Linked DNA regions of Xenopus tropicalis. The protein of the gene in region 1 purifies or fractionates together with the protein of each later gene. This does not show direct contact. Links are inferred from orthologs where the notes say so. Each region holds a gene or a part of one and is shown on either strand. Other genes may lie near its edges.

Region 1 (3,541 bases):
AAGATTTCTGAAATACTTTTTTGTTGAAATACATTGACATTTGTCGACTGGGCAGGTTTAAAAATACAGTTAGGAAGAGGAGCTCTACAGCACGCTGATGTGGCCCTTGTAATGATGGCCTGTATGCCATCAAGGTGAGTGTATCTGGGAAAGATCCGCTCATTTGGCAACCTCACCAAATGAGCAAATCATTCAATGTATGGCCAGCTATAGCATCCTCCACAGAAGAATCGGAAACAATACCTTGTTCCCTTCATATCTTTCATGTTACATCTTAATTTGAGGGATAATCTATACTATGGCCAGCACTGGTTTGCTAGAAAGAGTTTTAACCATAGTTTTAGACAAATAGAGCAAGCCGGGAAGTATGTGCTCTGGTGGATGCCTTGAGTTGTGCAAAGAAAATTAGCTAAAAAGAACACACAAAAGGGACCATGAGAAGGGAAGGAAAAAATTTGAGAGCAACATTTTTCTTTAAATGAGACAAAGCATAGCATAAAATCCACCCAATCTTGTAGGCCAAAGTAAATAATATATGGTGCTGGTTTCACTTTGGGCTAAAAATTATTATCTTTAAAAATGGCCCCTATATTGGAGCCCCCACAAATCTGCTACAAAAAGGGACTATGTTTCAAATAAGGGGTGGGGGCATATTCTAACAGTCCCTACCTGAAGCACAGTAACAGAGGGATACCCAATCACAGTTCTGAAGTTACATAAGACAGGCTTCAGTTCCCTATCTGGTAAGATGTGCTGACAATTGGTTCATATTCTGCAGTGTGCCGAGTGCCGTGAGCAACTTTGCAGAGCCTGCAAATGGAGGCAGCAGGAAGTGGAACACATGGGCAGGACTAGCAGGGTTTTTAGAGAAATTTCCAAAAAATAAGCCCAAAACACAACTATTCTAAGCACAATCCTTCTATACATAAAGTAGCATAATGCACTTGCGCGTTCTTTTTTTACACAATATTTAGCCGTTCATTTCCTAACCATATCACACAAGCAATTACACACAAATAATGCACAAAAACACAAAAGTAATAAACATTTTCCCCCTCTGGGTTAGAACAGTTAGTGCAGCAACAAAGCATATATGTATATGGAAATTGATGGCAACTGATATATTTTTGCTTGGTGCACAAAATTATTAAAATCCAAACATTCTGGACAATAGATCTCCAATCTGTAAATAAGACTCCAAATGAAATATACATTTAGGAAAAGTAGGCAAGCAGAACACTGTACTTAAGGCGGCAAACTGCTATCACCACCCACTTTTTATGGCTGAAGATCGAAATGTGTGGTTTTAAAGGAGAAAGAAAGGTAAAGTCACTTGGGGGTGCCAAAATGTTAGCCCCCCCCCCAAGTGACTTTAATTGCCTACCTTTTAGCCAGGGCTGGTGCCCCTGCTCGGAGAGAACAGCACCAGCCCGGGGTAGCAGCGATCGATTCCTCCTTCCTGGTTCCCTGCGCGCGCATGTGCAGTAGAGTGAAAAGCCGAACTTTAACAGAGAAGTCGTCTTTTCACTATACTGCGCATGTGCCGACTGCTGGCATTTTCGGAAGGGAAGCAGGAAGGAGGAAGCGCTGAGCTACAGGTACCCTGGGCTGGTGCTGTTTTCTTTGAACAGGGGCACCAGCCCGGGGTACAAGGTAAGCGATTAAAGTCACTTGGGGGTGCCTAACATTTTGGCACCCCCAAGTGACTTTGCCTTTCCTTCTCCTTTGAAAGTTTAAGGAATAGTCTCATTTGTCCAACACCCATACGTTTCCCATACCTCCACATAAAGGGGGGTGCATGTATCAGGTGGCCAAACTTTTAACAAATGCTTTTTTTGCTCAGCAACCTGGTATTCCAGGTTGAAATCAAATTATCCGATTCTTAAAAAGAACCCAGATTTCATACCTTGGACTCTGCCTCCTCCTCTTTTTTCTTCTTCGCTAGCAGTTCCTCTAGTGACAAAGGATTCACCTGGAAAACAGAGTCAAACACTATTAAACTAAAATCTAATAACCATATTTCATATGACCTGCTAAATAAACCTTCATATTTTGTAATTAGTAAATAAAAATTACAAATGTAAAAACTTTCAGCATTTTTTCTGCAAAAGCCAGAACTTGTTCATAAAGATAATAAAGAAAAACTGTATTTGCCAGCTGATAATGTAGAATTATATATACAGGTATGCGATCAGTTATTCAGAAATCCACTATTCAGAAAACTCAGAATTTAGTGAAGGCCAAATCCCACAGACTCAATTTTAATAAAATAATTTTAAAGCATATTTAACAAATTTTTCTCTGTAATGACAAAACAGTACCTTGTACTAACTAAGATATAATAAATCCTTATTGGTGGTAAAGCAATCTTATTGGGTTAATGTAACATTTAACCGATTTTTAGTAGACTTAAGGCATGAAGATTCAAATTTACGAAAGGACCCCTTATCCGGTAAACTCCAACCAAGTCCAAGCATTCTGAATCACAGGCCCCATACCTTTACAGAAATATGTGCAAGGCCAGGAAAACCATAATAAAAATATAGATGAACACATCTATGACTATCTACAATATTTTTTTTAAATAATTAACCATGGCTTACACTGGCAATGCAGTGGCAGAACTTGACTGGCACTACACTGGTCACCCAATGCCACCACAATTTTTTTTCATGGTCAAAACCCTATTGCCACAAGACTGCAGTCTTTGGAAATCAAAATTGCACAAAAGCACCTTGCATTTCAGCCTTAAGGCCTGTCGCTTTATCTATACATTCTGATCCAACTCCTGTACATTTTATCAATTATCAATTACTATCAATTTTGGAGTTCAAGCAAAAGGAAAATTAACTGCATTAGCTATGCATATTGACAGTGTTTTAGTACTGTCACACCTCATTAGTGGTGCAAAGTAGAATGCATTTAAACTTTAATTCTATATTCAACATCCCACACCATACATGGACTGAAATGCACACCCTAAGCTTAAACAGAATATTTTTGGAAGACAATATGTACTAGGTTTGAAGCCTTAGAAACCTTAGTGCCAATATTCCCTAAAGGCTTCACATACATATCGAACTATAATCACATCTCACCTTTGACTTTTTGTCTGTCTGCTCTTCTTCCTCCACTTCTTTTTTTACTTCCTTCTTTACTTTGGTTTCTTTTCCTCTGTTGGGGGACACACTTCTGAGAGAAATAAATACAGAAGGTTAGGAACTGGTAAGGATCAAAGGATAATAAAAACAATGAATAACATTTTGACTTTACCTAGAACGCTTTCTTTCTTTGTCTCGTCTGTGGGTATCTTTCTCTCTTTCCCGATCCTTCTTTCGATCTTTCTGTCTTCGGTCCCTATGATTGGCAAAGTAAAGCATATAGTTAAAAAATAAATAAATAAAAGTCACACAAAATGACCAATTCTGATGTATATATATTAGTTTACTAGTGAAGAAGTTTAATGCATCAACATCTTGCATATTTGAAGACTATTTAGTCTTTTCAAAGCTAACATCTATGTCTCAGCACAAGCCTATCT
Region 2 (4,279 bases), on another chromosome or scaffold:
GAACCTTCAATGTTCATTTTAACTGGTGTTCAAGTTCTAACAAAAGCCTCTGCTTGGAATAAAAGCCTGCGGTAGCTAGGATTTCATTATATCCACTGAAACAGACATATATCCCACATAACCAGTCCTCACTCACATCAAGTGTCAGCAAGTTGTCTCCTGTCAACTACGTGCCAACCCTAGCAAGGTCTGCCAGTAAGTTTTACATGAAGAGCCTAACATTAGCTACACGGCCATTTCTTCCAAATAAACGGCCCTCACATCGAGTCCCAACATGTCCGAAATTCATAACATCATCATCATATTTTACATTACATGCAGACTAATATAGAAGCTACCATGGAAGAATTTTTTACTTTGGCAAATCTCTGCCATCCCGAAGCAGCACCAGAGCCACTAGAAGTTGGCACTAGGGGTGTCCACCCATTTTCATACCTTAGAATCTATAAAGGTAAATTCATAGGCACCAATAAATGATTAATAGTTGCAAGGGTGCCTATTAATATGTCCCACATAGCACCTCCCTTGCTAACTGCCAAGTAGATTCTCCTGACAAAAACCACATTCATTTATACCAATTCAATTAAATGGCCACCTCTTTGCAATGGCAGGCAGGCCTGAAACCCCAGCCAGGCAGTATACAGAGGGTGAACTGTAGGCCTACAGACACATAGATGTCCCATAACAGGCAAATGAGTAACTATTTTAGAATTTAAAGAACACCTTAATTTGATCACTAAAAAGGTGTAATGGAATGTTATGGTGTAAAACACTAAAGCGAGGAGTCACTTAACGAACACAAAATATAAATTCATGCCACTGACTGTATTTATAAGAGAGTAAATCATGGGAACATGCCAGCCTACCCAGCAATGCTACTGCATTCATACCTCCCAACATTTGAAAAGCAGAAGGAGGGACAGAAATGTCTGGCGCGCAAGCCAACATTTTTAGGCCACGCCCACTTTATGGCCACGCCCCCCCCAAACAGGCCCATTTTACAAAACCACACCTGAAAAGCATAACATACACAAAGTGCACCAGAAGACAGACACGGTGGCCCCAATCATTTTATGACATATTGTGGCCCTAAGGATTTCATTATGCACTGTGGCACCTGTATTTAATGACAAACTCATGACCAGACATTGGTAGCCAGGTGTTATGTTTTGCATTGGCGCTAGAGCAGGGACCCCCTAAAACATTGCTGGTCCTCCCGCAGTGTCCCCCTACTACGGGCTGCTCCCCACTGCAGCATCCTCCCCAACATCCTTCAGCTGCCCCCAGCATCCACCCAACATCCTTCAGCTCCTCCCAGCGTCCTACCCAACATCCTTCAGCTCCCCCCAAAATCCTTCAGCTCCCCCCAAAATCCTCCAGCTCCCCCCAACATCCTCCACAATATCCTTCAGCTCCCCCAACATCCTCCAGCTCCCCCCAGCATCCTCCAGCTGCCTCCCAGGGTCCTCCAGCTGCCCCTAACCTTCCTCCAGTGTCCTCCCCAGCGTCAACCTGCTTTCTGTGGCACCCCCTGCTCCTACCACCACCAGCTTCCTCCGGCTGTGCCCCAGGGCTCTTCTTCTCCTCCTCGTGACGTCACATGCACGTCTCTTGAGTGCCGCAGCTGCTGCACTGTGAATGGCTTTATGTTAAAACTGAAGTGAGCGGCGCAGAAGCTGTGGCGCTAAGGGGAGACGTGCGTGTGGCGTCACGGGAGCAGAGACCTTTAAAAGTGGGACAGATCTGCAGCTATCCGGGACAGCGGGACAGGGTGGCAAAATCGGGACTGTCCCGCATAAAGCGGGACAGTTGGGAGGTATGACTGCATTTTCCAATATGAAAGAGAAATTCAGACAATGTATAAATAATGAAGGAATCACCATTCCCAAGAGTTAGGACTAGCAGTGCAGTCAGAGACAGGGCACATCAACATTAATAGAAAGATCTCTAATAATAAGAAATGCAATTCCATCATCCAATCACACGTCTGAATGTATTCTAAGGACAGTCATTGGGTGCTTCTAATTCCCCGCCCCCTTGATATTCCCGCCACCCAAGTGAGGTGCAGAACTGTACAACATGTCATTTCCATTACTGAGCCCAGCAGGGATGCTCCTTCTAGTGTAAAATCCCTTCCCTATGCCTTTCTTGGCATCTCTAACCAAACAGGAGAATATTCCATTGCATATGGCCGAATTGTGGGACCCAGTCTGTACCTTATATTTTCCTGCTTACTACATCAATGTCCAACTCACTACCCTCAAGTTGAGATTTATTTATAACTCCCACCCCTATTGGGGTGATACCGGAAGTCACAGTGGAACCCCAGAATGAAGGCAGCACCGATAGATACACTCAAAATATTTAACAAACGTTGCACATTATATGTCCTTCCCAGCCAGCCAGGCAAGGTGCGGGCTCATGAAGCTATGCCTGAAGCACAAATGCGGGACGGTATTAATGGATGCGCGTCCCAGAACACTTCCGGTATGGCGGTACCAAGGAAGGAGCGCAGGGATATCCCTAATCGGATCGCTACATCCACAGGGCCGCTGCCGCCTTACACTGCATCATGTGACTGTCTCCCTGGGCCTAACGCTATAGTCACCATTCTCCCATTCACACTAGCGGGGCCTCACAGGTTGGCAGCGCTGCTCTCTATCGCTCTCAGCTCAGCTATAATGGTTTCTCTCTTCTCCGCCTCCTCCATACCGCAAACTAACAAGCCATAAGGTTTTCCCGGGCTTCAATCTGCCTCCTCCCAGCATGCACCTCGCTAATACGCGGAAGTGCTAAACAACAATGAGTGTGCGAGGTTGGGGGCGGCGCTTCAGAACGCCCTCTAGTGGGGTGTTCTTCCAACTGCATGTGTGTGTTGCAAACGAGGCTAAAGGCGCGAATGGGGAAAGTTGTATTTGTGTAATTGGAAAATAAAGAAATTTCTATGAAAGTTTATGTACTTTTTTCCCCTCTCAAATTGGCATTTAGCAGTGCTTTTACATGATCTCTGCTTAATGGTTGCACCTAGAATAACCCATTCCATAGGGATCCCAGGTTACTATATAAGCAGGCAATACAGTGTCTATGGGGATATTTATGATTTACTACATTGCCCCAAATGACATCTCAGCAAACATGTAGCCTGCATCATAGCCATGGGCAGAGAATTGCAATTGTGTTTCCAATTACTATAGGAAGGGCTGCCATCAGTGGGGTAAAGGGGTGCTGCAATCAGAGGCCCTGTGGCAGAGGGGGCTCCAGAAGAAGGATTCACTGGTCATTAAAGGGCAGGGGGAGTGGGTAGGGTTTAGGTGGATTGTGGGCAAGATTTTACTCTAATGGGATGTGACTGGGGTTGATCAGGGCCTTGGTTATGCATGTGCTGCCCATTATTCTTATTTTTCCATTGGTGACTTGTTGGCGGGGCCCACAGTCTAGGTCCCTAAGTGCCCAGTAGGTAAATAATTGTGTGCCGCCTGGGTGGGTACTAGTGCCTTGTGATTTGTAATGGTATCCATGACTTCTGGGTATTGTGTAAGAAAAGAAGCTGAGAACCAAGTTGATTATAAAGGGGGCCATACACTGTAAGATCCGCTTGTTGGCAAGGTCTAAAGGACAAATATCGGCAACTGAAATTGGCCTGTGTATGAGGCCTGTGAAGCAGTTGAATAATCTTGTCCAATACAGTGAAGCCAGGGGTGTATCTTGGGATCTCTGGACACCCCCATACCACCCATGGACCATAGGGGCTGTGAATGGGGAATGTGGGCTGCTTTTTACTGGGTCCCCTGTCTCTTTGGGTCCCTCTTTGGCCATGGCGAAAGCTGAGTCTCCTCTCCATAAAGTTAAGTTACTAAGGTTACTAAGGTAACCTATGCCACTATCATCACCACTTGCCCAGGCTTTCTGCCCTTCTTCTTTGGCACCTGTGAAGCAGTTGAATAATCTTGTCCAATACAGTGAAGCCAGGGGTGTACCTTGGGATCTCTGGACACCCCCATACCACCCATGGGCCATAGGGGCTGTGAATGGGGAATGTCAGCTGCTTTTTACTGGGTCCCCTGTCTCTTTGGGTCCCTCTTTGGCCATGGGGAAAGCTGAGTCTCCTCTCCATAAAGTTAGGTTACTAAGGTAACCTATGCCACTATCATCACCACTTGCCCAGGCTTTCTGCCCTTCTTCTTTGGCACTGGAAAGGTTGCCCAGCAGCCAGCTAAATGCAACAAGGGGTCCACTGGCCACTTTTATCTGTTTGACACCCCTGATAGCACCGAGGGCA
Region 3 (3,541 bases), on another chromosome or scaffold:
TACAAAGTGGCCAGAAACCTGACCTATGCCTGTCTAACCCCGCTGGCAGTGGTTTAACAACTGTAACTCATGTCTGGTTTGACGACAGAAGTACCAGGTAGCTGTTGTGTGAGAGTATGTGGCCTTATGGAATGAGGGAGAGTACAATCACGGGGGTTGGATGGACACATGTCCCTTTTACATAGGATAATTTAGCACCACATCCTGTTTCGCCAGTTCCAGCAACATAGGATCGTCGAAAAATTTGCTGATACTCACATCCTCGCTTAGGCCCTACGCATGGTAAAGAAATAATGTAAGAGGTTAAATGCAGAAGGGGGCGAGGCACTCCTTTATACAAGAACAGAGCATGAAGCTGTCTCTGCAGCAGTATTAACAGGAAAGAGAAATGCAACTCTGGGAAAAGAACTGGCCTAATTCCTAAATACAAAAGATGAATGTGTAACAGTTTGCAGCAGCCAGGAAGCTGAGCAGACTAAGTGAGCAAAACATTTGTTTCGAGTTCAGATGTAGCACTATCTGAGCCCACGGAAGATTTTAAAAAGTCCAATTTCTTAAATGACAAACTGGCATGACATTATTCCTTTCATTTGTATATTTCCCCACAACCTATGCTTCTCCAGGTGCTACAGCTGCTTATGAAGCCACGGAGAATTGCAGTTCCTCAGAAAAGCCACCAATTTACTCATAAACACACTGTTTAGGATTGAAATTGCTTATGAAAAGAAACCCCAAACAGTCTTTGAACAACCTGCCCTCTCTTCCTTCTCAGCCACATAGAACTTACCTTCCTACGCCTTGTCTTTATCATGAACTCCCTGGCAAGGTGTGGTGCTGGTTGTGGTTCCAAGGGCCGTATAATGATGCTTTTATCCAGAGGGTCTCCAGGAACAATCTACCAAAAGATAGCAGGCAAGTTAAACAGCAAACTGGCACAGTGCATTATGAAAATACTAGCGCCAGAACTAGGGGTAGGCACCTTCCCAAAGCACAGTGGGGGGTGCAGAAACAGAAAATGGGTAATGAACTATCAATAACTTCTACTTTCCCTTCCTTTGCAAGATGTTCTATGTCAGTATGCCACTAACTGTCAGAAAGCAGGAAATGGCGTGGTAAAATCACGGGGGTGCCACTATTTCAAACCATATCCAAGTTGATTTCCCAGGATATCCCAGATGGTTAGATTTGTACCTGCCAGTGATGGAAGACAGACAAGGAGAAGGCTTGTCCCTGGGTGTGTGTTCGCAGGTCAGTTTCAAACCCAAATGAATCTATTGCTGGGATGAAGGCTTTGATTGTGTAAAGAGGCGACCCAGGAATTGGGGCGTCCTGAGTCACATGCCCTCTGTAGAAAATGAAATATATTTAGAGTATGTTATGGGACAATACTGTTGGTCAGGAAGCGGAATCTCAATTACTCACCTTCTTCGGGCCAAAACAGTATAAACAGCAGAGACACAGTCTGCAGGGGCTTGTACTTCCACAAAATAATAGGGCTCCATTAGACGAGGAGTTGCCTGTATTTACAGAGGAAAGTACTTTGTGTTTAAGAGAGAAGAACCAAGGCACATGTCTTATATAAAGAGACGGTATGGTATAGACAGGAAATACATATATACATGAAGGTGCTTGTTTGTTATAGTGGGGGATACAGTTTTAGGGCACAGAGACACTTCTGTATTATATATAAAGGAACATGTGTATTGAGTCAATGTGGTGACAAAGGATGTTACCATTAGGAAGGCGGAGTAAACCACTCTTCGGGCTGTGGGGATGATCTGTCCCCCACCACGGTGTAGGGGCTCCTGTGCGATAACAGCATCCAAGATCTTAAATTTGACATTGCGGATCACTGAGGAGCAAAGGAGAGCAGAAAATCAGCAATTCCCTGTAGTGCCAAACTGTAGAATGTTTCCAATGTTACACTGTGACGGAACCAGAGAAAGGTGCAGCCAGATACTCACACTCATCACACAACGGACCCTCTCTTGTTCCCCACTGGAATCCCTGTACAATGCTGTCTTTGACTGAACTCAGCAACGCCTTATCCACCTATTAGGGCACAACGGAGAATTTCATTAACATGCAAGTTGATGGGCAGTGCACATAAGCAGCTCTAGCTGATAGATATAGAGATATAGATCCCTGTAGCAAGCTACTTCTGCATTTACACTCTAGGGTAATGTCGCTGCTAGAGCACTGGGGCAAATATGGATGTAGGTTGAGGTTAATTGTTAATCACTGCGTTGTAATAAAATATTTTAAGGGGAACTAAAGCTTAACTAAAGAATTAGGCTAAAAATGTTGTACATTTTGGTTAGGGCTTCTGTAGCAGCCCAAGCGACCACAGCCCTTTAGCATTTTTAGGGTTTAGTTCTCCTTTAATCAGGACCTGCTTTTCTTCCTCAACCAGAATTGTGAGCATTAAAAAAAATCTTAAAAGGGAGCCGGTCTTTATATTTTGGCTGCTGGCTTGTTTCTCCCAGTGGCCGGAAATGCAAACCTGGCTGGCAGAAGTGGTACCTGGAAGAAGAGCACTAGACATTCATAAGAGAGGCTTTGTCTGTGTCAATACCTTGCTAGTTTGGCACAAAAATGTTTGGCCAGGGAAGGCAGCTCTGATTTCATCTGCACTCCCTGGAACTCAATTGCAGAAATAATTCTGAGAGCAGAATGAAAGTCTTTGTCTAAAAGGAAACCTGAATTTAAATCACCAGCTGAGTTCTGGTACTATAGGCAACATCTGCACCCCAATCAACTGATACAAAAACCAGGTGGATCATACTAGACTACTGCAGTATAACCTAAAGAGGTTACATCAGCCAATCATGAAGCTGTAATCACTTAAGCCAGTGGTCTCCAACCTTTTTCACCAGTGAGCCACATTCAAATGTAAAACAAAACAAACATGCAAAAGGTTCCTGGGGGTGCCAAATAAGGGCTGTGATTGGCAATTGGTAACATCTATGTGGACTGGCAGCCTAAAGGAGACTCAGTTTGGCAGTAATCATGGTTTTGATGCAACTAAAACTTGCTTTCAAGCCTAGAATTTAAAAATAAGCTCCTGCTTTGAGGGCACTGGGAGCAACATCAAAAGGGTTGGTGAGCAACATGTTGCTACTGAGCCACTGGTTGGGGATCACTGCCTTAACCCATAGGTGCACTGGCAGAAGTCATTTTATCAGTGTTCTTTTGCCCATGGAAAGCTAAAACTTATGCAGGTGCTTTTACACTAATAGGTAAGGAAAGCCTGGAGGATAAAGGATGAGTACAAGAACAAACAATCTCCTCTACTGCACAAGTGCCACCTACCTCGGAGGGGAGCGTGTCATCAACCAAAATATTTGGTCCAGTTGTGTCTGGTCCAAAAGCCCAAATAGAACGGGCAGCAAGCAAATCCCAGTCATATTTGGTCTGAAAAAACTCTCCCAGCTTCTTCCTGAAGAGGAAAAGATATAGAGTTCACACACAGCTTTAACAATCACGAGAGGCAATATTTCAGGTGCTGTCAATATACAGAAACTAAACATATACATTACAG
Region 4 (4,021 bases), about 57 Mb from region 1:
CACTGACACATTTAAGGAAAATCAGGCATAAACCAAAGATATTACAGTGTCTGGCATCCTGGTCTTTGCAATTTTACAGAAATTAGTATGCATAATTTAGTACCACCAATGTGTAATACACAGGATAGTTTTCAGTACCCGTAAAACAAAAATGACTACATAAGCCCCAGACCAGACAATTACCTACCTCCCGTCTGTATTGTAATGAAGCTCCATCACTGCTCCACTATGTCCTTTCAAAGTTGCATAATTGTCACAGTCGCCATATACATTCCATAGCACTACAAGGCAAGTCAAAATAAACTCACTCAATAACTTCACAATTTAAGGGTAAAATACATAGCTTCATTTTTGGATTCAAATTCTAATTGTTATTAATGTACAATGCAGCATAAAACTAAAGTTTAAATGGTTTCATATTCCTTGTAAATTCCAGATTCAGACGGTGTCAGTTTTCTTGCAAATCAGTTAAATACCTACAAAGAAGTTCATGTGTGCTGCTAAATTTACTTGCTTTGTTTAATAGAATAAGTTACCTGCTGGGCAAACCTGCCAAAACATGGTAGCTTATTTAATTTGATTAAATATTACAAGAAAAGAAAAAATAAAATAACACATACCTGCATAACTTTCTTAATCTGATCAGTTGTAACATTCATAATTAATGTTACAGCTTGTATAGTGTGATAATGTGCTAAAAAGGAGCTAAAAAGCATAACAAAATTACAGGAGGTGCAGATTAATCCTTAATTAGTAACGTATAGATGGCCAATTAATTGTGTGATTCTACAGATGAAAAACAACATCTGCTACTAAGTCAAACAGCTGCAAAATACAAAGCGTATAAAACAAGTGAAAGTTGCTTACAGATAAGTCTGTCAAATCCTGCAGAAGACAAAGTTACACCATTGGGATGAAATTTGCAGCAATAAACTTCTCCTTCATGACCAGAAAGCAGCATGATGGGAGCCTGAAGACTGGATGATCTTGGGGGACCCTGCAGTCAACAAGTTCAGAGAATTAAACATCAAAGTAGATTCAGTTCCATTTATTACCTAAAGAAATATTTTATTCACCTTAAATTTTTAGTATTCTATAAATTACCATTTCTATTCTATTTTAAAGGGGCACTGACACATTCCTATAACAGTAAGGAACTTGTCAGTATTACCCATAATGCAGCACAACACTACTGCTTTTATTGAAGATTTACCCCAAATCTCCTCCAGCCCAGTCACACTTACCACAGGCAGAGTTAAAGGAACAGTAACACCAAAAAATGAAAGTGTATAAAAGTAATTACAATATAATGTACTGTTGCCCTGCATTGCTACAACTGGTGTGTTTCCCTCAGAAAGACTACTATAGTTTATATAAGTAAGTTGCTGTGTAGCCATGGGGGCAACCATTCAAAGGAGAAAAGGCACAGGTTACTTAGCAGATAACAGATAAACCCCCATTATATGGGGCTGATCTACTAGTTATCTGCTACATAACCTGTGCCTTTTCTCCTTTTTTCAAGCTTGAAAGGCTGCCCCCATGGTTACACAGCAGCTTATTTATATAGTAGCTTTTCTGTAGCAAAAACACCAGTTTTTTGCAGAGCAACAGCACATTATATTTTAATTACTTTAAAACACTTTAATTTTTTGATGTTACTGTTCCTTTAAGCCAGCAGTCTGGATAAAGAGATGCTCCCTGCAGACATGCGGGCTGTGGGTGGTGCCATCATTCTATAGGCAGGAATACAAATGTAAACTGTACTCCAGCCGTTGGAAGGATTGCATGGAGGCCAGTGTGACTGACAGACAACTCGTTAAAGTAACATTCTGCGTGTAGTAGTGTTGGGATGGGGTAAGTGTGTTTGGGCTGGGGGAAGCCCAACCAAGTGCTGCATTGTCAGTAATACTGACACGTTCCACGTCAGTATTCTTTTAACTACTCTTTGGCATATTTTCTCCCCTTAAAATTCAGTTTTAGTATTATTGTTATATTGCCTATTGTTTATCAGTCTATTGAGATCCTTCCCTAATTATTTGCCATTTTGAGTTCCAATCTACTTCTTGGTTGCTAGGAGAATTGAGGTCTAAACAAACAAACCTTAGAGGCGCAGAAGAAATAATCAAACTAAAACATGAGAAACAGATATACAGACTAAGGTCATGCTGTCTACACTATACTAAAGGACATTTTAAAACTGAACTACCCCTTTCAGAAAAAAGGCATGAAAATGGGTTAAGAGAAAGTCCCATAGCAGTAAAAATACTAGCTTTTTATTTACTATTTATAACTTTTGGAAATAAAGTTTTTTTTTTAAAAAAGAAAACTTTAACTTGATTACCTTCATTAAAACAACTAGAAAGTCCCATAAACGAAAAACCACAACCCATTAGCGTAGCAAAGTGTAATCACAAGGTCCTTAATGGCTGTGTGGGGTGCACAAGACGAGTCAATACTATAAGTAATTATACCCCTACCTATGTTCAGACGTTAGAGCCTTATGATTACACTTTTTAGCTTATTCTTATACCGTCTAAATCTTTTAATAAAGGAAATAATGGTACGATTTAGATTATGTCTATAATTTTACCTAAAGTCCAAGTCAAATATGCCCAAGGAATGAATGGTTACACTTATCCAAGCCAACCATTTCATTCAAATTCTTCATTCTTACCGAAACCACCAACTCGTTCCTCGGTTTTTTTGCCTGTACCGGCACCAACTCCATTCCCTTCCGCTTGTTTTGCTCGATCATGTTTCCAAGAACTCCTTCCAGCTTGTCTAACACTCACAAACCCAGCCACACTGTAAGACTCGCTTGCGTTCCCACTCAGCAGCGCAGGATGCTCACGCAATTATCCTGCGCAGTCACTACCTGATAAAGATTATAGTGGTGATTGGCTCTAAGACAATCATGTGACCTTGAAAGCCTTTAAGGGGCGGAACAGAGCTTGCGCCGATTTTGTCCATTAGTAATGACGTACGATGGGCGGGGTTGCGCGTATAAGGATGTTTAAGCAACTGGGCTGATACAGGAGAAAGAGAAAATGACGTAGAAGTTGTTGTAATTGGTTAAATGTGATCGGCCGGGGAGGAGACAGCGAAATGGCGGCCCATCAAAGGTAAAATATATAACAAGTCAGTTAGAAGAAGATTAATAGGCTATTACATAAACCATTATTAACGCAGCTTGATATTTCTCTGCAGGTGATTCAATTTTTTTAGGCACATCACATGTAATTTTGTCTACTCCAGTAAAAGGGGCTGTTGGCTTTAGGTGCCTTACATGCTGTTAGCGCACACTGAAGGATTCATAGGCTGGACATGCCTTCACTTTCTCTTCTATATGGAGCATATCTATTATAGTGTGTAAGTCGACATCATTGGTGGTGATGTGGCCCTTAGCAACCAATCAGATCTTTGCTTTGGATTTCTAACTTTTAGGTGACTGCTAAACTCTTAATTGCTGATTGTTTGCTATGTGCAACATCACTGGTGATATTGGCTTATACGCTAGTAAATAGGCTAAGGATTAAGGCCATATGTTATTCTGCACATAGAGCCACATTTACAAGCGTATTTGTAAATTTAGAGAGGTGACAGACGGGTATATTAGTCGCCCCGCAGCAATTCTTTGTTGCTGCGGGCAACTAATCTCCCTGCTATGCCATCCCACCAGCAGGAATGTAAATCGCCGGTGGGATGGCATATGCGTCACTACGATTTTCTGAAGTCGCCTTAAGTTGCCTTAAGAGGAAACTTCGGGTGACTTCCTTAGCCCTATGTGTTGTAGCAGCCATGATTACTATAAGGTATTACAAATCTATTGTCACAGTGACCCAGTTACACAGTGTATGGGTTTGAACCTGCAGTGAAAAAGAATGAAAGTGTCCCTGCCCTATGTTATGCGTATTTATCTCATTATTCAGAGACTTACGAAATATACATATTTGTATATATATCTTTATGTGACTCTAATTTTATATGCAATTGTTTTTTTTTTTTTTTTTTTTTTTACAAT
Region 5 (4,084 bases), about 90 Mb from region 1:
CCCCCCTCACCCCCAGGGTCTGTTCCCTCTATAGTTACACCACTGACATCTTTGCTAAATAACAGATTGCAGGAGCTGCCACAAAGCCAAAGACGTTCTATGCCAAAAATGAAATAAAGAGGCTTGCTAAAAACACATCAATAAATAGGATGACAATTGGCTAAATGACTGGGACGCTCAGTGGCATGTAGCATAAGGGCCCTCTGCAGTTGTGTAGGGTGTAATCAGCTTGGGTCATGAGGAGTCCCTCATGGTCAAAGATAGAGCAATGCACCTACACTGGGGCTCATCAGCTAAACTTCAGTCTAACTTCAATATTGCATAACAGTTCCCTCTCCCACAGCAGCAGTAGAGATGATCCTACTGGGCAAGGAGATACCCAGCAACCGTTGGAGGCACTGGCAGCTCATTTGCACATATGGTGCCAGTTTATGTTACAATGAGAGAAATATGCTCATTTATGCTTTGATTAAGAAACCTGAGGAACGCGCAGGGATAATATTGATGACACACACAAGGTCAGCCTCAATGTCTACATCACATTAAAAGTGAATTAAAGGTGAATTACCCCTTTAAGCTAACTGATCCCAAACACAAATGTATGGAGAACCCCTCACAGAAGTGCCTGTATGAATACTTTTACATCCTAAGCATTTTAGGGTTAAAAAAAAACCACTCCCACCCGCACTTTTGCCAGTAAATTAATCGGGATTTAGGGACTAGGAAATGCTCTTGTGTGCATTGTAAACATACCGCCATTACACAGCATTGTTCATGGCACCGCAACTCCAGGTGTTTCCTCATTAAAGCAATTAGTGGCTCAGTTAGCAAGCAACTAAAGGCCGTTCTCTTCCTATTCCTCTCAGTGCAGCCATTAACCTTACCTGTACCTGTGCAATCAGCTAATTGTCACCTAAATACGGAACTGATGGATTTTTGGAGCCTTTTGTCACCCAAACATCGTGCTGCAACAAACCAGCAGGAAGTATTGTGTGCAAGCCCTGTTTGGGGACAGGAAGTAACAATGGCTCCCAAACCACTGCGGTGTCCCGCTGCGAAGGCCCAATATGTCGCGTAGTTGAAGACACCCTAAGCCCAGTCTGAAAGCTTGCTAGTGGAACTATTTGACTAATTACAAACTCTTTAACTCTTTTTTTGCATTTTATTTTAATTCATTGCTTTAATAATAAAATAAAACCCTGATCACGTGTTAAGTGGGATATAAACGAGAGCTCACAATACTCCCGCGAGAATATGGCGCCACACGTATTTCCGCCGCGTAGCCAATACGTCACACCGAACGGTCCAATACGCTCTTCTTATTGGTCTTTGTGAAGGGTCACCAAATCGACTATTTCCGGTTTCTACTCCCTCTCTTTGCTTCTTCTCTTGTACATCCGGGTTACTGTGCCTATCGTGCGCTGTGCGTCCGGCGGCCATTGCGGTTCTGGTGAAGAGGCGGGAGCGAGAGGCTTAAGACCGAGATTCGGACAGAAAAGGTGCGTGTGCGTCGTATAGTGGGGACAGGGTGCTTGGAGGCTTTGCATTGGCTGCGAGAAAGAAGTGGCAATCAGGCGTGCATTTCGAAAGCCCAACAAGGCTTGCGTCCGGATATGTTGTGTGTATTCATAGTTTCTATCCGGGTTGTTCATGTAGAATTGCTGCGAGGTTTACTGAGAATGCCGGGCCATGTACTTAGCTTGAATTCATGTAAACGCGATCTGCAACCCAAAATTGTTTAGTGCAGACGAAAAGCGTAAATTGAAAAGTTGCTTAGAATTAGGATGATTAAAGTTTTTTGTTTACGTAAGTGCACCAGTATAGAATGTTTTAGTCTGCTTCATCAATCGGAGGCAGCAGCGTACAATGTAGCAGAAACCAGCTGATCTGACCTGCAATATTGTTGCAAGGGTTAGAACTGGGGTGCCTATAGGGACAAGCACTGCCTTTAACTACAGATACTTACAAATCACACAAGGTGTTTGATGCTTTGTATTACAGTATATAAAACTTCTGGAAAAGAACCAGTGTCCCCCAAGATAGAATACAGTAGTGACTACCATATATGTTTAGATGCCATGGGTTGGTTTTTGTGACTGAAAGATAAAACTTGGCTGAGGCAGAGGAAACTCACTGAATGTGTAAAAATCTGAACCTCTTCCACATTAACACTTTTCAAGCTTATGTAAGAAAAACGGTTCACTGGTTGTGCAGTTGTGGTATCTGTTATGAGCAGAAAGCTGTATGAAGAATTCTAAGCCTAAAGTTACTGTTTTTCCCCAAAAGCCAACAAAGGAATGATACTTTGCTATGGGATGCTAGGTGGTATTCTTCTATTTGTAGTAAATATAAATGGTCTACAACAATCAACCAGTAATCGTTGTGTAGCGTGCCCTACACATGGGGCCTATGTCTGGCACTGGCATAAACACTGGCAGCGAATGAACAGACACATGAAGTAACTATGGCTCCCAAACTGCTGCAATTTACCCTTAGTGGTGTTCATGCTAACTTCCCTGCCACAGCTCCAAGAAACCCCCACAGTTAAAAAAACATTAATCCCGGATATGGCATTAACACTTTATTCTGAATAGAAAATGTTACACAGCCTTCAGTTGGTTATTTGTGCAGTCCAGCTACACAAGTTCACTGCCTGCTTAATGCTGTACACTAGCCTAAAGTAAGGGAGAAACATTTTCTCTTTATGGTTGTGTTAAACATTTAATCATTCGTAACTTAAAAGCAATTTGATTAGATAAAATTAAGTGCTGCTATTTCTATTTTTTTCCAGTTTGAGACACCATGGCCGGGGTGTTTCCATATAGACCACAGGCACCGCCAATGCCCGGCCCCCCAGGTGGAACACCGGACTACATGTCTGAAGAGAAGCTGCAGGAAAAAGGTGCAACCTTCTTCAATTTGTTGTAAAAACCAAATGCTCTTTCAAAGTCCTTGCATACTTGGAGGGCTTCATGTGTCGTTGCTCAAAATGTAATTATTGATGAACTCGGCTGAATGTCACATACTAAACTAAATCTGACTAAAAGAATTGCATCTTCTGTGAACAAAAAATTGTTGCAGTATGCTTTATCATTTTAAAGTTGTGTGAGTGTTCAGTTTAGCTGAATGTTGGGTAACAGTAGTACAAATATATTAAAGAGGGAAGAAGGTTTTTTCTTTTTTAAATTTTGAGGATAAGTTAAGTACATACTGAGAAATTAAGCTTGAAATATCTTTGCTTGCTGATCATAGTAAAGAAACCACCTTTCTTTTTTGCCCAATTTTCTTAATTATGCAGGATTATGTTTGCGTTTTTGCTTCATGTTTAACACCAGTATGGTAGTAAATTGGATAGCTTATTCATGTCATATTTTTTTTAAACTGTATAGTTGTCTCATCCATGTTTCACTTATTTTGATTCCAGCACGAAAATGGCAGCAGCTACAGGCAAAACGCTATTCAGAGAAAAGAAAATTTGGGTTTGTGGATGCACAGAAAGAAGATATGCCTCCAGAACATGTTCGCAAAATTATTCGTGATCATGGAGACATGACCAACAGAAAGTTCCGACATGATAAGAGAGTTTACCTTGGGTGAGAGAATTAATTTCGGCAACATACCAGCAAGGCACTAACCTAAGCTGACAGACAGTAGTCCAGTGTAAATTAAAAAAAAAAAAGCCTGCAGAAGCAAGGTGCAGTTGTTTAGCAGGTAAAACAAGCAAAACTCAGTGGAGTGTAAGGATTGGAGTATTGCAGTACCACATTAACTAAACATAAATTGCCTTTGCACATTTTTTTAAATTGTAATAGTTAACCTCATGCTGTGATTTTATTTAACATTTTAAATTTCCAAAGTTCTGTTTTATGGTTAAGTGTATCCTGGTTTGTTTTTGTTTGTAGAGCATTGAAGTATATGCCACATGCTGTCTTAAAGTTACTTGAAAACATGCCCATGCCTTGGGAGCAGATCCGTGATGTCCCTGTGCTGTATCATATAACAGGAGCCATCTCATTTGTTAATGAGATTCCATGGGTCATTGAGCCTGTCTACATAGCACAGTGGGGGTAAGTGCATCTTGTAA
Region 6 (4,145 bases), on another chromosome or scaffold:
CATTCTGCAGCTCTTTAGAGAGATTATAAACCATTCATGTCACTATTAGCCCCACCACAGTTTAGATTTCATTAACATACTGGTCTATGCAAGAATTGGGAATATATACAGTGGTGTGAAAAACTATTTGCCCCCTTCCTGATTTCTTATTCTTTTGCATGTTTGTCACACAAAATGTTTCTGATCATCAAACACATTTAACTATTAGTCAAAGATAACACAAGTAAACACAAAATGCAGTTTTTAAATGAGGGTTTTTATTATTTAGGGAGAAAAAAAATCCAAACCTACATGGCCCTGTGTGAAAAAGTAATTGCCCCCTGAACCTAATAACTGGTTGGGCCACCCTTAGCAGCAATAACTGCAATTGAGCGTTTGCGATAACTTGCAACGAGTCTTTTACAGCGCTCTGGAGGAATTTTGGCCCACTCATCTTTGCAGAATTGTTGTAATTCAGCTTTATTTGAGGGTTTTCTAGCATGAACCGCCTTTTTAAGGTCATGCCACAACATCTCAATAGGATTCAGGTCAGGACTTTGACTAGGCCACTCCAAAGTCTTCATTTTGTTTTTCTTCAGCCATTCAGAGGTGGATTTGCTGGTGTGTTTTGGGTCATTGTCCTGCTGCAGCACCCAAGATCGCTTCAGTTTGAGTTGACGAACAGATGACCGGACATTCTCCTTCAGGATTTTTTGGTAGACAGTAGAATTCATGGTTCCATCTATCACAGCAAGCCTTCCAGGTCCTGAAGCAGCAAAACAACCCCAGACCATCACACTACCACCACCATATTTTACGGTTGGTATGATGTTCTTTTTCTGAAATGCTGTGTTACTTTTACGCCAGATGTAACGGGACATGCACCTTCCAAAAAGTTCAACTTTTGTCTCGTCGGTCCACAAGGTATTTTCCCAAAAGTCTTGGCAATCATTGAGATGTTTTTTAGCAAAATTGAGACGAGCTTTAATGTTCTTTTTGCTTAAAAGTGGTTTGCGCCTTGGAAATCTGCCTGCAGGCCGTTTTTGCCCAGTGTCTTTCTTATGGTGGAGTCGTGAACACTGACCTTAATTGAGGCAAGTGAGGCCTGCAGTTCTTTAGATGTTGTCCTGGAGTCTTTTGTGGCCTCTCGGATGAGTTGTCTCTGCGCTCTTGGGGTAATTTTGGTCGGCCGGCCACTCCTGGGAAGGTTCACCACTGTTCCATGTTTTTGCCATTTGTGGTTCGCTGGAGTCCCAAAGCTTTAGAAATGGCTTTATAACCTTTACCAGACTGATAGATCTCAATTACTTTTGTTCTCATTTGTTCCTGAATTTCTTTGGATCTTGGCACGATGTCTAGCTTTTGAGGTGCTTTTGGTCTACTTCTCTGTGTCAGGTAGCTCCTATTTAAGTGATTTCTTGATTGAAACAGGTGTGGCAGTAATCAGGCCTGGGGGTGACTACAGAAATTGAACTCAGGTGTGATAAACCATAGTTAAGTTATTTTTTAACAAGGGGGGCAATCACTTTTTCACACAGGGCCATGTAGATTTGGAGTTTTTTTTTCTCCCTTAATAACGTAAACCTTCATTTAAAAACTGCATTTTGTGTTCAATTATGTTATCTTTGACTAATAGTTAACGGTTTTGATGAGCAGAAACATTTAAGTGTGACAAACATGCAAAAGAATAAGAAATCAGGAAGGGGGCAAATAGTTTTTCACACCACTGTACTAAATCAGATATAACACTATTTTTCTGACAACAAAACGTCTACTGGTGATTTTTTGTTTAATGGAGAATACAATTTTATTAAAAATGGGTTACCCTATTAACTGTCCATTTTGGTACGATTTTAATTACTAGGTTTAATTTTCCCCAAATAATCATGTTTAAAGCTGTTTTTACCCATCGCTATCTACTTGCTGCCTCCATGTTTTTAAAGGAGTGCCCCATAGTCAAAAACATTACTGAGCATGTGTGAAGTCCCACCCCTTATTGCTAGAGCAATTAAGCCTTAATAAACTAACAAAAAAGTCTGGGCTGAATGTGTTAAAAGGCATATTTTTCAGTCATATGCATTTTTTAAACACAAATTAGTGTTTAAGTTGACCACACAGATCTCTATAATCGTGCAAGCACATAAAGCTGCAGAATATTTCCTTTGTAGAAACTTGTCATGTGGGTCCAACCAGGAAAGATATGGAATTGATTAGAAATTGATTGAAAACATTTAGAACCATTGAAAATGTTTAAATCGTGTATACTGAATAGTTGCTTAGTATTAAAAGACACATATCGGATTTGAATTGGGCTAATAGAACCCGCACTTAGGTTGGGGGAAACAGTACCATTTTGTCCAAAAAAATGCTCATAGCGATGTGCCACCCACACCCGGATGATGGAGAACTTGCTGCAGGTAGCCATGTTATTAACATGCCTGTATATAGTGAGCAAGTGTCACATGCAATTGCATAATGAGAAAACCCGGGGAGCTGTTTATACACACGACCTGGTGCTGGTAGCCTGCAAGGGAAGCTTTTTGGCACTGCCATCTCTGCCACAGTAATTAAATCACAGAACTACACAGCATTTTCTAAGTGCAGGCAAGTTCCGGCTAGTACAATCGCATGCTCTGCTACATAGAGGCATTCGTTCTAAGCGTCAATCAGCTAAACTTAAGTAGATACAAAAGGCTAGTTTTTTTCCTTATTTTTAAGTATTTAAAGCTGGGCTGAAGATATTCCACCAGTTACTCACATCTTTCTTTTTGTCTTTCCTTTCCCTTCTCACGTTTTCCCGGCGTGTAGAACGCTTCCTTTGAAGGGCCACTTCCGCTTCCGGGCCACTTTAGCGGCTAGTTCCTGCTTGATTTGGTTAAGCCTGTAGAAACGTGCCCACGTGATCGACACGAAACAAGTTCCCTCCAGTTTGCTACGCAGAGGGGCAGCGGCGTAATCTGACAGAGAAAAGGCGGGGTGGATTAGTTAACAAAGAGGGCGCATCTAGTTCCTAGAGTGGTTATAGGACAAGGCAAATCTTATTCCAATATTGTTCCAGTATGTAAGGCAACGCTCTGTGCTGGGAATTCAGTCGCTAAAGAGCGCAATAAGAACAGTTCCATGTTTCATTTTGACCATGTTTTCTCAGATTGTGCAATTGGAGGGATATACCAGTAGGTGGCGCAATTGTTACATAATAATTATAATAGACGCTTATAACATGCTTAATAACTTTGAAACTGAAAACAAATCTGAATTGCAAAAGCATTTGGAAGACCGACCAGAAAATGTGTACACTTTTTAGTGTCCTATTGTGTAAAATAACTGAATGGATAGCTTTACTGCGTAGCAGATTTAAAGGTGTTCTTCACCTTTGAATTAACTTTTAGTATGATATAGAGCAGTGTTCCCCAAACAGTAGCTTGCGAGCAACATGTTGCTCTCCAACCCCTTGGATGTTGCTCCCAGTGGCCTCAAACCAGGTGCTCATTTTTGAATTTCTGGTAAAGGAGGCATGTTTTGCAGCCATAAAAAACAAGTATAATGCCAAACAGAACCTTCTGTAGGCTGCCAGTCCACATGGGGGCTATCAAATAGCCAATGATAGCTCTCATTGGCACCTCCAGGAACCTTTTTCATGCTTGTGTTGCTCCCAAACACTTTTTCCACTTGAATGTGGCTCACAGGTATGAAAGGTTGGGGATCCCTGATGTAGAGTGTAATATTCTGAGACAATTTGCAATTGGTCTTAATTTTTTATTTGTAGTATTTTTTTTAGTTCTTTCACTTTTTGTTCATCAGCTATCTTAGAGCTAGAGTCCAGATTACCTTAGCGACCAGGTAGCAATTTGAATGAAAGGGTGGTAAATAAATAGGAGAGGACCTGAATAGAAAAACAAGTTATAAAAAGTAACAATAACAATAAAACTGTATGCTCACCAAGCAATAGTTTTTTGGCTGCTGGGGTCAGTGACCCCTATTTGAAAGCTGGAAAGAGTTAGAAGAAAATAAAAAAATGATTCAAAACTATAAGAAATAATGAATAGGAATAGGCAATTCTATAACACACTAAAAGTTAAAGGAACAGTAACACCAAAAAATGAAAGTGTATAAAAATAATTAATATATTATGTACTATTGCTCTGCACTGGTAAAAGTTGTGTGTT
Region 7 (4,042 bases), on another chromosome or scaffold:
AGAATAGAAATGGCTGGGGGTTTGCGCTTGCCCAAAAAACCTGTAGGAGACTGGGAAGCAAACAGTTTATCTAGGGAGTCTGTCAAGACCCTGCAAGGAGGCCAGTGAATGAGCTAGCTTGCGTACCCAGGGAGGCTCAGGAATGGAGACCGAAGTCTAGCGCAACACTGGGTGCAATCAAGAAAAGAAACCTGTGTGGTAATAGGATTCCTGGTGGGTTCGGCCAAACCTTGGCACATCAATTGTGGGTTGCACTCACCTTCCCCACCTGTGACCTTACACTGCCGGCTTCCTCTTCCGGCTCTCTAATTTATAGGCACATGTGGGGCAGGTGCGGGTCTACAGAGGGAAGAAGCCGGGTCGGGCAGGGTTAGGGTTGGAAGTGGGCAGGTTAGGGCTGGGAGTGAGCAGGTTAGGGCTGGGAGTGGGCAGGTTAGGGTTGGGAGTGGGCAGGTTAGGGTTGGGAGTGGGCAGGTTAGGGTTGGGAAGGTTAGGGTTGGGAGTGGGCAGGTTAGGGTTGGGAGTGGGCAAGTTCGAGTCGAGGATTTCTTGACCGACACATCACTAGCTCCCACCCTCCTGCGCTGCCAAACCACATACAGCAGCGGAGCACCAAATCCTGCCCATGTAGCCCAAGGATGCTGGCTATCTCTGCCAGCAGTAGCCCCAGGGTCCCAGTCCATAGGGGGAACCTGCAACCTGCGTGAAGTGAGGGGGGGGGGGTGAGCAGCTCCCCTTCCCCCAGTTGCTGAAGGGACTTAACCAGAGCTCCTGCCCTTCTCTAGAGCTCCATACATGTCTGGGGGCTGAACCATGATTCCTGCCCAAGATCTCCTGTAAGGAAAAGGAGAGATGCAATATAAACAATAAAAAGTCAAATAAAATAAAGTAAAATAAATAGAAAACTCCCTGAAGGGGAGTTGTGTCCTCCTCCCATAAGTTCCAGTTCCCCCCCCCCCCCCCAGAAGGTGGTATTAACCCTTCAGTGCCGGTGTCCCCCTGGAACTGTGTTTTTATTAGAACAATTCGACCTTTACAGCAGTGCTTACTGCTTCCCTTCTAGTTGTGCCTCTCAGTCTGAGGCGCTCAGGCTCTATAATGTTCCAGAACACAGGGATTTGGAAATGTTGCGGACAGTTAACTATAGGAACCATTATTTCATAGGGTCGGGTTTCCAGGGGGAGGGCTATTGTGCTGCACAGGGAAAGCTTTTCTGCTTCCGGGTACGAATGTGAGCTGTTCTGCCTACAGGCTGTTACAGTACTAAAGGTATGTAGTGAGGGTGGGTTTATTGTGTCAGGGGTATCAGTCTGGCAACTAGTGTGTCCTTCCTCCCTGTCTAACGGGGGATCTGCTGTCCCTGTATCTGTCACTCTGGGGATCTGCTGTCCCTGTATCTGTCACTCTCTGGGGATCTGCTGTCCCTGTATCTGTCACTCTGGGGATCTGCTGTCCCTGTATCTGTCACTCTGGGGATCTGCTGTCCCTGTATCTGTGACTCTGGGGATCTGCTGTCCCTGTATCTGTCACTCTGGGGATCTGCTGGCCCTGTATCTGTCACTCTGGGGATCTGCTGTCCCTGTATCTGTGACTCTGTGGGGGATCTGCTGTCCCTGTATCTGTGACTCTGTGGGGGATCTGCTGTCCCTGTATCTGTGACTCTGTGGGGGATCTGCTGTCCCTGTATCTGTCACTCTGGGGATCTGCTGTCCCTGTATCTGTCACTCTGGGGATCTGCTGTCCCTGTATCTGTCACTCTGGGGATCTGCTGTCCCTGTATCTGTCACTCTGGGTTCTGCTGTCCCTGTATCTGTGACTCACAAGCAAAACCACTTGTGAGTATGAGCCCTAAAGCCAGAGAAAGGGTTGGGGGTGGTTCTGCATATTACTGAGCAGAGGCAAGAGAAGAAGGGAAACTCTGGGGGAGCAGAAAGCTCTATATAGGAATCCTTGCCTGCTCTGAAATCATCAACTTTAGACAAACTTTACTCAACACCCACCACTTGCCCCCCCCCCTCTATATTGATGGCCATGTTGGGACCCTAAGCTGTAGAATCCCAGCTCTCTAATTTATGCACAGGAGTGTGATGTCACAGGCATAGGTATAATGAGCGAGGCAGGAGATTCAGTTATTGCATGTCACCAAACATGGCCACCCTCACTGGGAGCTCCCTCCCAGTATGAGCATGTTTAGGCAAAACAGCATTGTTTCTGGGGAGTGTAACAGGAAGTGGGTTCCCTGTGTCCCAGGACTCTGTGTCCCTGTTGCTGGGACAGCCACCGTGCCCTGTGTCCATAACCCTAAAACATGTCTATATACCCCCCAAAGATAAACTGGTAATGTTTGAGAATACAAAGCGTTAGAAAACCAATTAATGAATAACCTTTAACAACTTCCTTTTATAGAGATGGACACCCCTTCAACAGACATGGATCCTGAACTTGCCCGGCAGCTGTTCTTTGAAGGTGCAACCCTGGTGATATTGGGGGTACCAGAAGGCTCTGAATTTGGCATAGACTATAATAGCTGGCAAGTGGGACCTCGATTTAGAGGTGTAAAAATGGTGCCCCCGGGTGTTCATTTCATGCACTACAACGTGGTTGGTAAAGGAGGGGGCCTTGGAGACATGAGCCCGCGCAGCAGCATGTTCCTCTATTTGCAACAGAGAGAGCTGCGTCTTTTCCGCTGGGACCCCCAGGAGGAAGAGATGGTCGTAGCCCCTCAAGAAGAAGCCGAAAAACTAAGGGAGGAGCTTCAATCCTTAGATTCCTTCCTGGGGCCATATCCTTATCAGAGCATGCGTCGCTGGGTGTCGCTCAGTAATCACATCAAGAAAGAGTCCATGTTCAGGCTACAGCCGAAATGTGGCACCATCTTCTCCTTTCCTGAGGTCCTTCCTACGGAACCCATGACCCACACTGCCGACCGAGTCCAACATAATCTGCCCAGGTATGGGAAAAGCCAGGGGGAACTAACAGCGCTGTCAGGAGGGTGGGAATTTACCAATTTGATAAGTGTCCTATTAGAAATGGTGTGCCTATTATAGTGTGTATTTGTGGGAATGTATGCAGACTGGGTATAGGCATTTGTATGTTTTAGAATAAAGAAACTTTATTATTTTTTTTATCCAAACATTAGGTCTGTGGCACTTGGCTGCCTGCTATATACCAACTTTTAATTTGTTTTTACATATGTTTACTATTCTCCATAAAATATAGCATTGGCTTTGTACTGTATTGCTATAGCGCCACAGATATAGGCAGTGCTTTACAAGGTTTGTTCTCTTCCCAGATATGACAGTGTGTGCCAAAGCTATAAGGAGGGCATGGCCAGGCTGCCCCAAATGAAGCAGAAAGAGGGAACAGAGATTCGGTTTAGCCTGATTCCTGACAAGACGTACCCTGATAATGCCACCCCTACTGAGATCACCCAGCACAGCTTGGACCTTTCCTATGCCCTGGGGCAGTTGCTGAATACACACTACCCAGGGCAACCCTTGGAGCTGCTTGGTAAGTCCAACTGCTTTCTACTTTAACCCTGTTTATGTGCATAGTGGCATAGTAGTACAGGTGGGAGGTGGGTTTTGCCCAGTAGGGACTTACCTTACTTATCTTGACTTTAACTCTTTCCCTTCCAGCTGAGCTGCAGTTCTCCTTTGTCTGCTTTGTACTTGGGAATGTGTATGAAGCATTTGAGCAGTGGAAGAAAATACTGAACCTTTTGTGCCGGGCAGAGAATTTCTCCCTGCAGCACCCAGAACTGTACATGGAAACTATATCAGTCCTATACCACCAGCTGGCACAAGTACCCACTGACTTCTTTGTTGACATTGTATCCCAGAGCAATTTCCTTACCAGTACTCTGCAGGTACTTCACACTTTTTTACAATCTACATTCTTCTGTGTGGGACAGGAATGTTCAGTTTATACCTCATAGCTTGTATTTTAACTGGAAGTCATAATTTAGTCATTTGCAGTCTATAAAAAGATCGGGTAACCTGTGCTATTTCTGATGTTTTTGGGCTACAACTCCCGGCCCTGC

Evidence for each region.
Region 2: the proteins of ddx23 (region 1) and tssc4 purify together in Homo sapiens (affinity purification with mass spectrometry; 3 studies listed by BioGRID and IntAct, with this or other methods). This does not show direct contact. The link is inferred for Xenopus tropicalis from reciprocal best matches to the Homo sapiens genes DDX23 and TSSC4.
Region 3: the proteins of ddx23 (region 1) and eftud2 purify together in Homo sapiens (affinity purification with mass spectrometry; 6 studies listed by BioGRID and IntAct, counting the BioPlex papers as one, with this or other methods). This does not show direct contact. The link is inferred for Xenopus tropicalis from reciprocal best matches to the Homo sapiens genes DDX23 and EFTUD2.
Region 4: the proteins of ddx23 (region 1) and snrnp40 purify together in Homo sapiens (affinity purification with mass spectrometry; 3 studies listed by BioGRID and IntAct, counting the BioPlex papers as one, with this or other methods). This does not show direct contact. The link is inferred for Xenopus tropicalis from reciprocal best matches to the Homo sapiens genes DDX23 and SNRNP40.
Region 5: the proteins of ddx23 (region 1) and prpf8 purify together in Homo sapiens (affinity purification with mass spectrometry; 5 studies listed by BioGRID and IntAct, counting the BioPlex papers as one, with this or other methods). This does not show direct contact. The link is inferred for Xenopus tropicalis from reciprocal best matches to the Homo sapiens genes DDX23 and PRPF8.
Region 6: the proteins of ddx23 (region 1) and snrpd2 purify together in Homo sapiens (affinity purification with mass spectrometry; 3 studies listed by BioGRID and IntAct, counting the BioPlex papers as one, with this or other methods). This does not show direct contact. The link is inferred for Xenopus tropicalis from reciprocal best matches to the Homo sapiens genes DDX23 and SNRPD2.
Region 7: the proteins of ddx23 (region 1) and aar2 purify together in Homo sapiens (affinity purification with mass spectrometry; 3 studies listed by BioGRID and IntAct, counting the BioPlex papers as one, with this or other methods). This does not show direct contact. The link is inferred for Xenopus tropicalis from reciprocal best matches to the Homo sapiens genes DDX23 and AAR2.

Annotation. Positions count from the first base shown.
Region 1 is NC_030678.2:135,997,383-136,000,923, forward strand, and holds part of ddx23 (probable ATP-dependent RNA helicase DDX23), read right to left. Parts: intron 3,358-3,541; coding exon 3,274-3,357; intron 3,193-3,273; coding exon 3,099-3,192; intron 1,973-3,098; coding exon 1,907-1,972; intron 1-1,906. UniProt on the Homo sapiens protein: Involved in pre-mRNA splicing and its phosphorylated form (by SRPK2) is required for spliceosomal B complex formation.
Region 2 is NC_030680.2:22,340,706-22,344,984, reverse strand, and holds the start of tssc4 (protein TSSC4), read right to left. Parts: upstream 2,813-4,279; 5' UTR 2,640-2,812; exon of another isoform or gene 2,565-2,639; intron 2,542-2,564; exon of another isoform or gene 2,217-2,541; intron 1-2,216. UniProt on the Homo sapiens protein: Protein associated with the U5 snRNP, during its maturation and its post-splicing recycling and which is required for spliceosomal tri-snRNP complex assembly in the nucleus.
Region 3 is NC_030686.2:17,884,236-17,887,776, reverse strand, and holds part of eftud2 (116 kDa U5 small nuclear ribonucleoprotein component), read right to left. Parts: intron 3,440-3,541; coding exon 3,313-3,439; intron 2,053-3,312; coding exon 1,965-2,052; intron 1,853-1,964; coding exon 1,734-1,852; intron 1,518-1,733; coding exon 1,423-1,517; intron 1,346-1,422; coding exon 1,192-1,345; intron 896-1,191; coding exon 788-895; intron 274-787; coding exon 178-273; 3' UTR 1-177. UniProt on the Homo sapiens protein: Required for pre-mRNA splicing as component of the spliceosome, including pre-catalytic, catalytic and post-catalytic spliceosomal complexes. Component of the U5 snRNP and the U4/U6-U5 tri-snRNP complex, a building block of the spliceosome.
Region 4 is NC_030678.2:79,150,081-79,154,101, reverse strand, and holds the start of snrnp40 (U5 small nuclear ribonucleoprotein 40 kDa protein), read right to left. Parts: upstream 2,828-4,021; 5' UTR 2,756-2,827; coding exon 2,675-2,755; intron 998-2,674; coding exon 868-997; intron 282-867; coding exon 188-281; intron 1-187. UniProt on the Homo sapiens protein: Required for pre-mRNA splicing as component of the activated spliceosome. Component of the U5 small nuclear ribonucleoprotein (snRNP) complex and the U4/U6-U5 tri-snRNP complex, building blocks of the spliceosome.
Region 5 is NC_030678.2:45,519,502-45,523,585, forward strand, and holds the start of prpf8 (pre-mRNA-processing-splicing factor 8), read left to right. Parts: upstream 1-1,268; 5' UTR 1,269-1,499; intron 1,500-1,523; exon of another isoform or gene 1,524-1,618; intron 1,619-2,791; 5' UTR 2,792-2,802; coding exon 2,803-2,902; intron 2,903-3,424; coding exon 3,425-3,593; intron 3,594-3,902; coding exon 3,903-4,067; intron 4,068-4,084. UniProt on the Homo sapiens protein: Plays a role in pre-mRNA splicing as core component of precatalytic, catalytic and postcatalytic spliceosomal complexes, both of the predominant U2-type spliceosome and the minor U12-type spliceosome.
Region 6 is NC_030684.2:70,386,198-70,390,342, forward strand, and holds the start of snrpd2 (small nuclear ribonucleoprotein Sm D2), read right to left. Parts: upstream 2,811-4,145; 5' UTR 2,740-2,810; coding exon 2,738-2,739; intron 1-2,737. UniProt on the Homo sapiens protein: Plays a role in pre-mRNA splicing as a core component of the spliceosomal U1, U2, U4 and U5 small nuclear ribonucleoproteins (snRNPs), the building blocks of the spliceosome.
Region 7 is NC_030686.2:39,757,145-39,761,186, reverse strand, and holds the start of aar2 (protein AAR2 homolog), read left to right. Parts: upstream 1-1,226; 5' UTR 1,227-1,269; intron 1,270-2,406; 5' UTR 2,407-2,408; coding exon 2,409-2,950; intron 2,951-3,292; coding exon 3,293-3,510; intron 3,511-3,638; coding exon 3,639-3,868; intron 3,869-4,042. UniProt on the Homo sapiens protein: Component of the U5 snRNP complex that is required for spliceosome assembly and for pre-mRNA splicing.